Linked DNA regions of Drosophila melanogaster. The protein of the gene in region 2 interacts with the protein of the main gene of each other region in a pairwise test. Each region holds a gene or a part of one and is shown on either strand. Other genes may lie near its edges.

Region 1 (4,644 bases), on a different chromosome or scaffold from region 2:
CCAAGCGCCAGGCAAAATCTGGGGGCACTTTTAATTTGTTGTGCAACAAATTAGCATTTATTTTCATTACGATTCCAACTTGCCGGGTGTGTCTGTCTGCCTCACCGCCTCATCGCCTTTTTCCATTCATTTTTTGTCAGCTCTTATGCACGTTGTTTGCTTTTAATTATAAATACATGTAAGCTAAGCATTTTTAACCCTCGGTCGTGCATTATGATATACAACTTTTAAAGGTAATGTAAAATAATTCTTATATCGTATTATAACTTTATATGAAAATCAATAATACAAGTAAGTTAAATGTGGTATTTTTAAGCTACAACGAAAGAGCGTGGATAATATTTACAGAATGTAAAATGCCATAAGCTATAAACGCTGCTTTAGCTGTTCTAAAAAAAAATCCATTCACATCTTTTTTTGCCCATCCACATTATGCCACCCCATTTTTGTGCAATGGGTTAATGCAGCAAATCCCCGCCATGCAACATAGAAATGTGCGCGGAATTCTTGCATTCAATTAATGCGTGTGCGAGTATAGAAAGCATCGCTGCGTCGCCGCTGCTGACCATTCTCGTCCTCATCCCAGAAACCATCTGCATCCGTATCCCTATCCCTATCCCGATCCCTATCCCTGTGGCCATAGCCATAGCCATAACCATGACCATCGTCATCATCACCTTGCCGTCGCTGGGCATTATCCAAGTAAGAGCTCACGCCCGACTGAGCGCCCAACGAAGCTGAAGACCACGGTGCGGATGAGTAACGCTGCCTGCCATAAGACCAAGGATGCCGATGGGAGTTTGTGCCAGCATACGGGTTATAGTGGTGCTGATAGTAATCGGAGCCCGACTCCGATTCAAAGTCGGGCCGGGACGAGTGGTCGATGTGTGTGCGATTAGGATAGAAATCGCCGCCATCGGAGGTGGAGAAGGTCTGAGGCGGAGGTCGGCGCTGCCCGTAATTATAAGCATCATCATTCGCGTTGTGGGGCCGATAATCGTGATGATTTTGCTGAGGGTTCGACTGGTACTCCATTGGCTGGCGTTGGGGCGGCTTATTGGCCATCTCCGTGTGACGGCTGTAGGGCGATTGCAGCACCACCGTGGGCGTAACAATGGAGGGCGGCACACTTGGCTCGACGGCCGGAACTAAAGCAGCCTGATGATTCCAAGATGATGCCGCTGCCGATGCCGTTACCGATTCGGTGGCCGTTGTCGAGGTCTGTTCGCGTGAATTCATCTCGGCTAATTTGTTGAAACGATTGCGAGTGCCGCTGGCTGTGAGCACCATCACGGTGGGATTCATGTCAGCCATATGATCCTTCAGGCAGTTCTGCAGCATGTTAACAAAGAAGAAGAACGAGAGCAGCGTTAGTGCGTTCATCACCGAACCGCTGCTCTTCTTCGATTTCTTTGACGATTTGGTGGGCGGAGGAGCCGGTGGTGGACCAGCCGGCGGATGGTGGGCAGATGGATATGCGGGCCCACTGCCCGCACTACTGGGATGAAAGGAGGAGAAGCTACCCGAGGGTGGGTCATGCTGCAGCTCGTACTCCACGGATGGCTCTATGCCGCTGCAAAATTCAAACTGGCATTAGATGCGGAACTTGCACTGGAATTGGGGTTATGGTTTGACTTTGATGGCCAGTGCACAGGAAGAAATAGGTAATTTAGGTTGATAAGTTCGAAACTTTAGTATTCATTAGTATCAATATTATTAAGTATATATTCATCTTCAAATAGTTATTTATATTTTTTCATAACAGTTTAATTTCTTTGTATATTTGGAATGAATTTTCTTGTTCATCCCATTGCTTTTCTCTCAGTGCAGCGGTGGTTCTTTGCTTACCCGTAGCCGGAGTGTCCGCTGCCAGCCGCCGTGGCCGCATAAGCACCGTTGTGGCTGCTGGCGGCCGCCAGGAGCGGTGGTCGTCCCTGCTGCCCCTGGTATCCTTGGTGTCCTTGGTGGTAATGGCCCGGCAAGTAGTGGCTCGGGTAGTAGTGGTTGGGATAGTAATGCACACGCTGCGTTTGACTGCAAGAGAAGGTTAGAAGGTGAGTGGTGAAAGCGGGCAAGCGGATGAGTGAGTGGGGGGGGGGGGGGGTTGGGCATGTGGTTGTGTGGCCGAGACGCCGCTTCTGTTTGTGTCCCACATTAGCCCGGCTAAGTGCCTGAGGTATCAGTCCGCGCCCGCAGTGGCTGTCTTTTGGGCCAGGGGTCGTTTGCGATTGCAGTTGCCTCCGGCACTCCAGCACTTAATCTTTAAGCCAAAGAGCACACTTTATCCTGTTGCAACTGACTAAACTCTTTCAAGGCTCCTTTAAGCGATTATTAATATTACGTAGGATAGAAGAAAGAAGTTTGTTAAAGCGTTTAAGTTTTGCATATATCAATGACTGAAAAAGAATTAATTCATTATTTACGATGTTGTTTAGCAGGACTTCTTGATAAATATATAAAAAGCACTTAAGCGAGTTCAGATTAACAATATAATTCTAGGGAACTGAGTGAGTGTGCCACTTCTTAATTATATCAAATTTAATTTGATTTGGCTGTATGGCAAATACAGTCGACATCCCAATGCCTTTGACCATGGCTTACGCATAATTATTTCCTGAGATGGCTGAAAGCAGCGGATGTTGTTCCTGCTGTTGCACGTTGAGTTGATTTGTCATTTGGCCGTCGGACATTTTCACCGTCTTTGAGTTCACCAAATTCAATTGCTAATTGATTTGTGCCGAAAAGCGCGCATGTTTATCACTACACGGTGCACCAGCGTGGCTCATTGTCGCTGGTGCTCAACCTGCCATAAACCGATGGCAACTCGACTGCAGAAGCCGCAAACAGGACGATCAGGACTAACAGGACGAGCACGACGAACTGGAGTTTGGGGCTGAAGCAGCAGGAGATGATGCGCCCAACCAACCGCAAGTGACAATGTCGTTTAGGCAACTGGGCAAAGCCTTTCCCAGACACTTGCCTGGCAGGCGGCTATTAACGCAGGTGAACTTGAAGTGGGTGGTAATCGTGGTGGTGCTGATAGTGGTGTTGCTGGTGATGCGGGAAAGAAGAGAGGCAGGCGACTGTCATTGTCAGCTGCTAAGTGAGTTTGGCTACAACTAGCAACTTGCAACTGCAACGGCCTTAAAACAACTACTCAATGGCAGTGTTGGCAGGTACGGCTCGAGCAAAGCATTTGTACCAATACTTAAACTAGGTACAAGTACAAAAATTACAAAAAACATAGTAACTCACTTATTAAAAGAAGAAGTTATAGATTCTAAACGAGAGCTCCTTACTTTATCCACTTTGCTATATTGCTTCTTTATTGAATTTCAGGAAAGGTAATCTTTAGTATCTTAATTTAATTTTGTACTCCGTGGAGAAAGTATTTCCATTTCCCATCACTGTTCGTAACACGTACCCAAAAGCCAGCTGACAATTGCCGGCAAAGTGTTTTGTGGCGACAACGGCCAACTGACACACACCTGAATTGGAGCGTTGCGTTGCATGCATGCGCTGCACATTTCGGCCAGGCCAGACAATTAGTGAGCGACAAAAGGCCGGGAATGCTCCTTGGCATCAACCCCCCCCCCCCTACACTCCTCCTACTCCCTACCCTTACCGATTCCTGTCAGTGTTAATGACGCTCCAGTCGCTTGTTTATTGCATTAAAAGCTCTATGGATGCAGCGTTATGCATCAGAAATTGTCATAATTGTGCCATGTCTGGCCCAGACTTTGCCACTGTCGTCTGTGCAGCCAAATGGAGCTCGGTTCTTGTGGTCCCTTGTGCGGTTAGTCGAACCCGGCTTTTGGTTGGGGTCCACTTCCACTTCTCCACATCCACGCCTTTGGTCTTAAAGATTTATGACTGGGGCTAATAGTTTTCATTGCCAGAAAAGATTTTTATATTGAATTGAATTTTATGGGGTATATTAGTGCTGCTTATATCAGTTATCACACACTACAAGTGCTCTGATCTTCCACTAACTTTTTCTAACTATATTTAATTGTAATATATATACTACTTTTAAACAAGAAGTATACAACTCTTCGATCACAAACATAGCACAGTCTCGAAAAATCCCTGTCTGTTGTCTTTCGTAAAGCGGAAACATTAGACTGCAATAACAAATATTTAACATTTCCGCAGTGCTAGCGACAACGTGGAGCAAAACAAAAAAGAAAGAACAACATCAGCTAGATTTGCAGAATCAAAAGCATATAATAAATTGCACTGCAACTTTTCCACACATTTTCCAGCTTTGTAACGCTTTGATTTGTCGCGCTGCCCCAACCCCCAAAAATTTGGCCCACAGGAAATGTTGGGCAAAAAACTATGGAAAAGAAACTAGAGGACTTTTGCTGATTCTTCCAAAAAAAAGGGAAGCATATCGAAAAGTCAATTGCCTTGCGGGGTTGAAAATTTGAGAACATAAATGGGGGGCTGTTTTTTTTTTTTTTTTTTTTGTGGATTGGGTATTTATATTTAGCTTTTGTTGCTGGCGCCATTGTCAACATATTTCAAAGCCCTCCCAGGACCGAGACAGAGAGTCAATAACAAGTTGACTCGGACATATTGTAGTTAACTAGTAGCCGAACATTTGCCACCAACATTTTTATAAGATTTTATGGCCACCGA
Region 2 (3,904 bases):
GTGATCTGATGATTGGAATTAGTCGCGAAATTAAGAATATCTTAGTTTATAAGTAAGTATTTGTTCATGAACAATCGTTCTGCAATAGTTATGCTTATAAAAAAAACTGGGGCACCGGTTGGTAAAAGGCCCAAATATAAACTAGGAATGCGCATTATATTTGGGACTGTTGTCCAACCAACTTTAAAGTACTTGCGAATTAATACTTAAGGTTAATACCATTAATGTCTCTCAAATGTCTTTTGTCTGGTTATCCTAGTCGCTGTTACCCTCCGTCTCGTCGTCCAGCAGCAAGCTTGTCGAACCATAGCTACGGAGTCTGAAATTTAAATCACAAATAGTTATTATATTTACCTAGAATTATACATTGATTAGTAAAACCAATACATGCAGTAAAAGGATTAGTGATGCTAAAACAAATCAAACCAATAATGTGATGAACACAATAACTAACAAAGCATTAGTTTACTCAAGTGATAACAATCGTTTCTGCTCCTCTAATCTCACCTCATCGTCGGACACCTTGAGACCATCTAGATTAATGCTGTTTCTCGCATATCCAGCGCCTGCAGACTGCTCCTTCTCGTACAGCTGTCGGTTTAGCTCATCCTTACTGGAAACGGAGCTGCTGCCTCCATTTGTGGTTCCCTTCAGGGGCAGCGCTAGATTCGCTCGACTGGCACTGCTGCCTGCGCTGCCATAACGTCCGTTTCCGGATCGCTGCCTCTGGTGATGATGATGGTGCTGTCCGTGAGGATTATCGAATTTCTGCTTGGCCCGCTCGAACTCCAGATTCCGTGACTTCGACTCAAATATATTCTCCTCCAGATGCGTGGGCTTGGCATCAAAAAAAGCAGCTGCTGCCGCTGCCGCCGCCGCTGCAGATGCCGCAGCACTACTCTGCTGCTGCTGCAGGAGCGTTCGTTCCGTGTGACTAGATCTCTTTACGGAAGCAGCATGATGCATAGCGGCATCGCTGCCATTGTGGGAGCTCCTCAAACCTGCCTGCGAGTCATCAAAGATCTGGCGAAGATCATTGATATTCGGCAGACAGTCGTTGGGCAGCTCCACGGCAATCTTATTCCTCAATTGCACCCCGCCCATGCCCCGCAGCTGGGGACTGGGAGCACGTCTTTTTCGTTGGGTTAAGCGTGGGTTAGGAGTTAGGTTATTAGTCAAGCCAGCACCAGTTGAAAAGTTAGTGGTTATTAGAGTTAGTCCACAGACTTAGCGGTATGCAAATCTAAATGTTTCTTTCGAACTGATCTTACCTATTCTGGAGGTGCTGAATCTGCACCTGTAATCCTTCCGTCTGACCCACCAGCTCATCGTTGGAACGCTGCAAGCGGCGCACTTGGTTAACGGCCGAATCCAGTTCGTCCTCAGCACCAGCTAACTCCCGCTTCAGCTCCTCCACACGCTGACGCAGACGCTTCACCTGCAGGAAAATAGAGAAAAGTAGTGATGTAGCTACATATGTGGATTCAGATTGGTATATTACATATTTGTTCTGAACGCATAAGATGCATCTGTACCCAAAACTCGAAGCACAAAGAGCAAGGGGGCGTGCCTTCCAGTCTTCAAACACAACTGATAAGCAGACGACCCCCGCCAAGTGGTGATAACGCTTAAAATGGAAAAATATTTCCTTCCACACTCGCTTCACTCTTGGTTTCTATCGTCAAGTGAAATATAAGCGCGATAGTGCGAAAAATTTAGAACCCGCAGATTAAGATCGGGCATAACAACAATATTAAAGCGAGGTAAACAAAGTTGGCGAAGAAGAGCGAAGAGAGCGCGCGAAGAGCGGGCAGCCAAAAGCTCTCGCTGTAGATTTAAGCTTTCTTCAGTCTCTCGCCGAACGTCGAATCGAGCAGCTGTTCCGTGGAGAACCGGCTGATCACTTCCAACAGAAAAGACAGAACCGAATCGGAATTATGATTGCGCAAAGTGTAATCAGCAAACTGCGACCGTGTGCCCGCCGCTTGGCCAGCACGAGCTCCAAAGCCGCAGCTCCCAAATTCAACTGGCAGGATCCGCTGAATTTGGAGAGCCAATTGACCGAGGAAGAGGTGGCCATTCGGGATGCGTTCCGTGGATACTGTCAGGCCGAGCTGCAGCCGCGCGTCAAGATGGCCAATCGCCTGGAGACGTTCGACAAGAAAATTATGGAGGAGATCGGCAGTCTGGGTGTCCTCGGCTGCACCATTAAGGGATACGGCTGCGCCGGAGTCTCTAGCGTTGCCTACGGCTTGCTCACCCGCGAGGTGGAGCGCGTGGACTCCGCTTATCGGTCTGCTGTCAGTGTCCAGAGCTCGCTGGCCATGGGCGCCATCTACGACTTTGGATCCGAGGAGCAGAAGCAACGCTATTTGCCCAGCATGGCGGAGGGCAAGCTGATTGGTGAGTGCCAAATGAATAAAATCATATTTTAATGAAATATTGAGTGAATTATATAAAGTCCCGTAGTTTATATGTGTTCTCTTTAAACGAATCTCAATTTCTTTACATATTTATTCAGGTGCCTTTGGCCTAACTGAACCCAACCACGGTAGTGACCCCGCTGGCATGGAGACCCGTGCCAAGTACGATAGCAAAAGCAAGACATACATCCTGAACGGATCTAAGACGTGGATTACTAGTGCGCCCATCGCAGACGTCATAGTCGTATGGGCAAAATGCGAGGATGGCAAGGTACGCGGCTTCCTGGTGGATCGCAAGATATCCGGCAAGGGTTTGGAGACGCCAAAGATCGAGGGCAAGTTCTCTCTGCGTGCTTCGCCCACGGGTATGATCCTGATGGACGAGGTCCGTGTGCCAGAGGAGCAGTTGCTACCCAATGTGGCCGGCTTTAGTGGACCCTTCAGCTGTCTGAACAACGCTCGCTATGGAATCGCGTGGGGAGCCCTGGGAGCAGCTGAAACCTGCGTGGAGATTGCTCGCCAGTATACACTGGATCGCAAACAATTCGGTCGTCCTTTGGCTGCAAATCAGTTGATCCAAAAGAAGCTGGCCGATGCCATCACAGAGATTGCGTTGGGTCTGCAGGCTTGCCTGCATGTGGGTCGCCTCAAGGATCAGAAGCTGCACACGCCCGACATGATTTCCCTTCTAAAGCGAAACAATACTGGCAAATCGCTTGATATAGCGCGCCAAATGAGGGACATGCTGGGTGCAAACGGAATCAGCGACGAATATCATGTGATCCGCCATGTAATCAACCTGGAGTCAGTTAACACCTATGAGGGCACGCACGATATACACGCGTTGATCCTGGGCCGAGCCATCACCGGACTGGCGGCATTTGCTAACTAATGTACTTGTTTCGAAAATCATAAAGTACTGCATTTACCAATTTGTTTTATGTCGAAGTGTCAATGTGAATAAATGTTAATCAAACCGAATTCGGTTCGGCGAGGAAGGCTGTTACATCTTTAAGTTTTCCTAGGCTGATAAGCTGATACGCGTAATCTGATCCATATATCATCTGATAAGATTTTTGGATGTGGATTTACTCACCTCCGCCTCATACTGCTCGGCTCGCCGCACGGCGTGTCCCAGCTCTGTGTTTGTTTCGGCCAGCAACTTCTTTAGCTTGGCGTGCGACATCTTCACCTCGCTGATCTCCTTGTTGCGCTCCGAAAGTTCCTGCTGCAATGCTCGCAGCTCCACGTCATTAGCTTGCATGGGTCGGCACTTACGGTCCGAACGTTCCTGATAATCTCGCAGTTCTGCGCGCAGTTTCTTGTTGTCACGCTCCATGGCCAATTTCTCGGACTCCAGTCGCTCGCGCTTGCCCCATTCGGAGGCGTTCTCCGCCTGAAGGTGCTCCAGTTCAGTGCGAAGCTCCGTGAGGCTGCAATGAATCGATAGTTACACTCTTGTCAAAGTACAGAATGCGTAT

The links. The genes of interacting proteins can lie anywhere in the genome.
Region 1: the proteins of CG9547 (region 2) and CG13407 interact in a two-hybrid assay, tested with the Drosophila melanogaster proteins (one large-scale study listed by BioGRID).

What each region holds. Positions count from the first base shown.
Region 1 is NT_033777.3:22,101,460-22,106,103, reverse strand, and holds CG13407 (uncharacterized protein), read right to left. Parts: upstream 2,691-4,644; coding exon 2,602-2,690; intron 2,035-2,601; coding exon 1,849-2,034; intron 1,574-1,848; coding exon 514-1,573; downstream 1-513.
Region 2 is NT_033779.5:6,492,472-6,496,375, reverse strand, and holds CG9547 (uncharacterized protein), read left to right. Parts: upstream 1-1,843; 5' UTR 1,844-1,937; coding exon 1,938-2,403; intron 2,404-2,521; coding exon 2,522-3,315; 3' UTR 3,316-3,402; downstream 3,403-3,904. Other genes in the region: CG31638 (uncharacterized protein), read right to left, coding at 311-319, 508-1,132, 1,272-1,438, 3,520-3,856.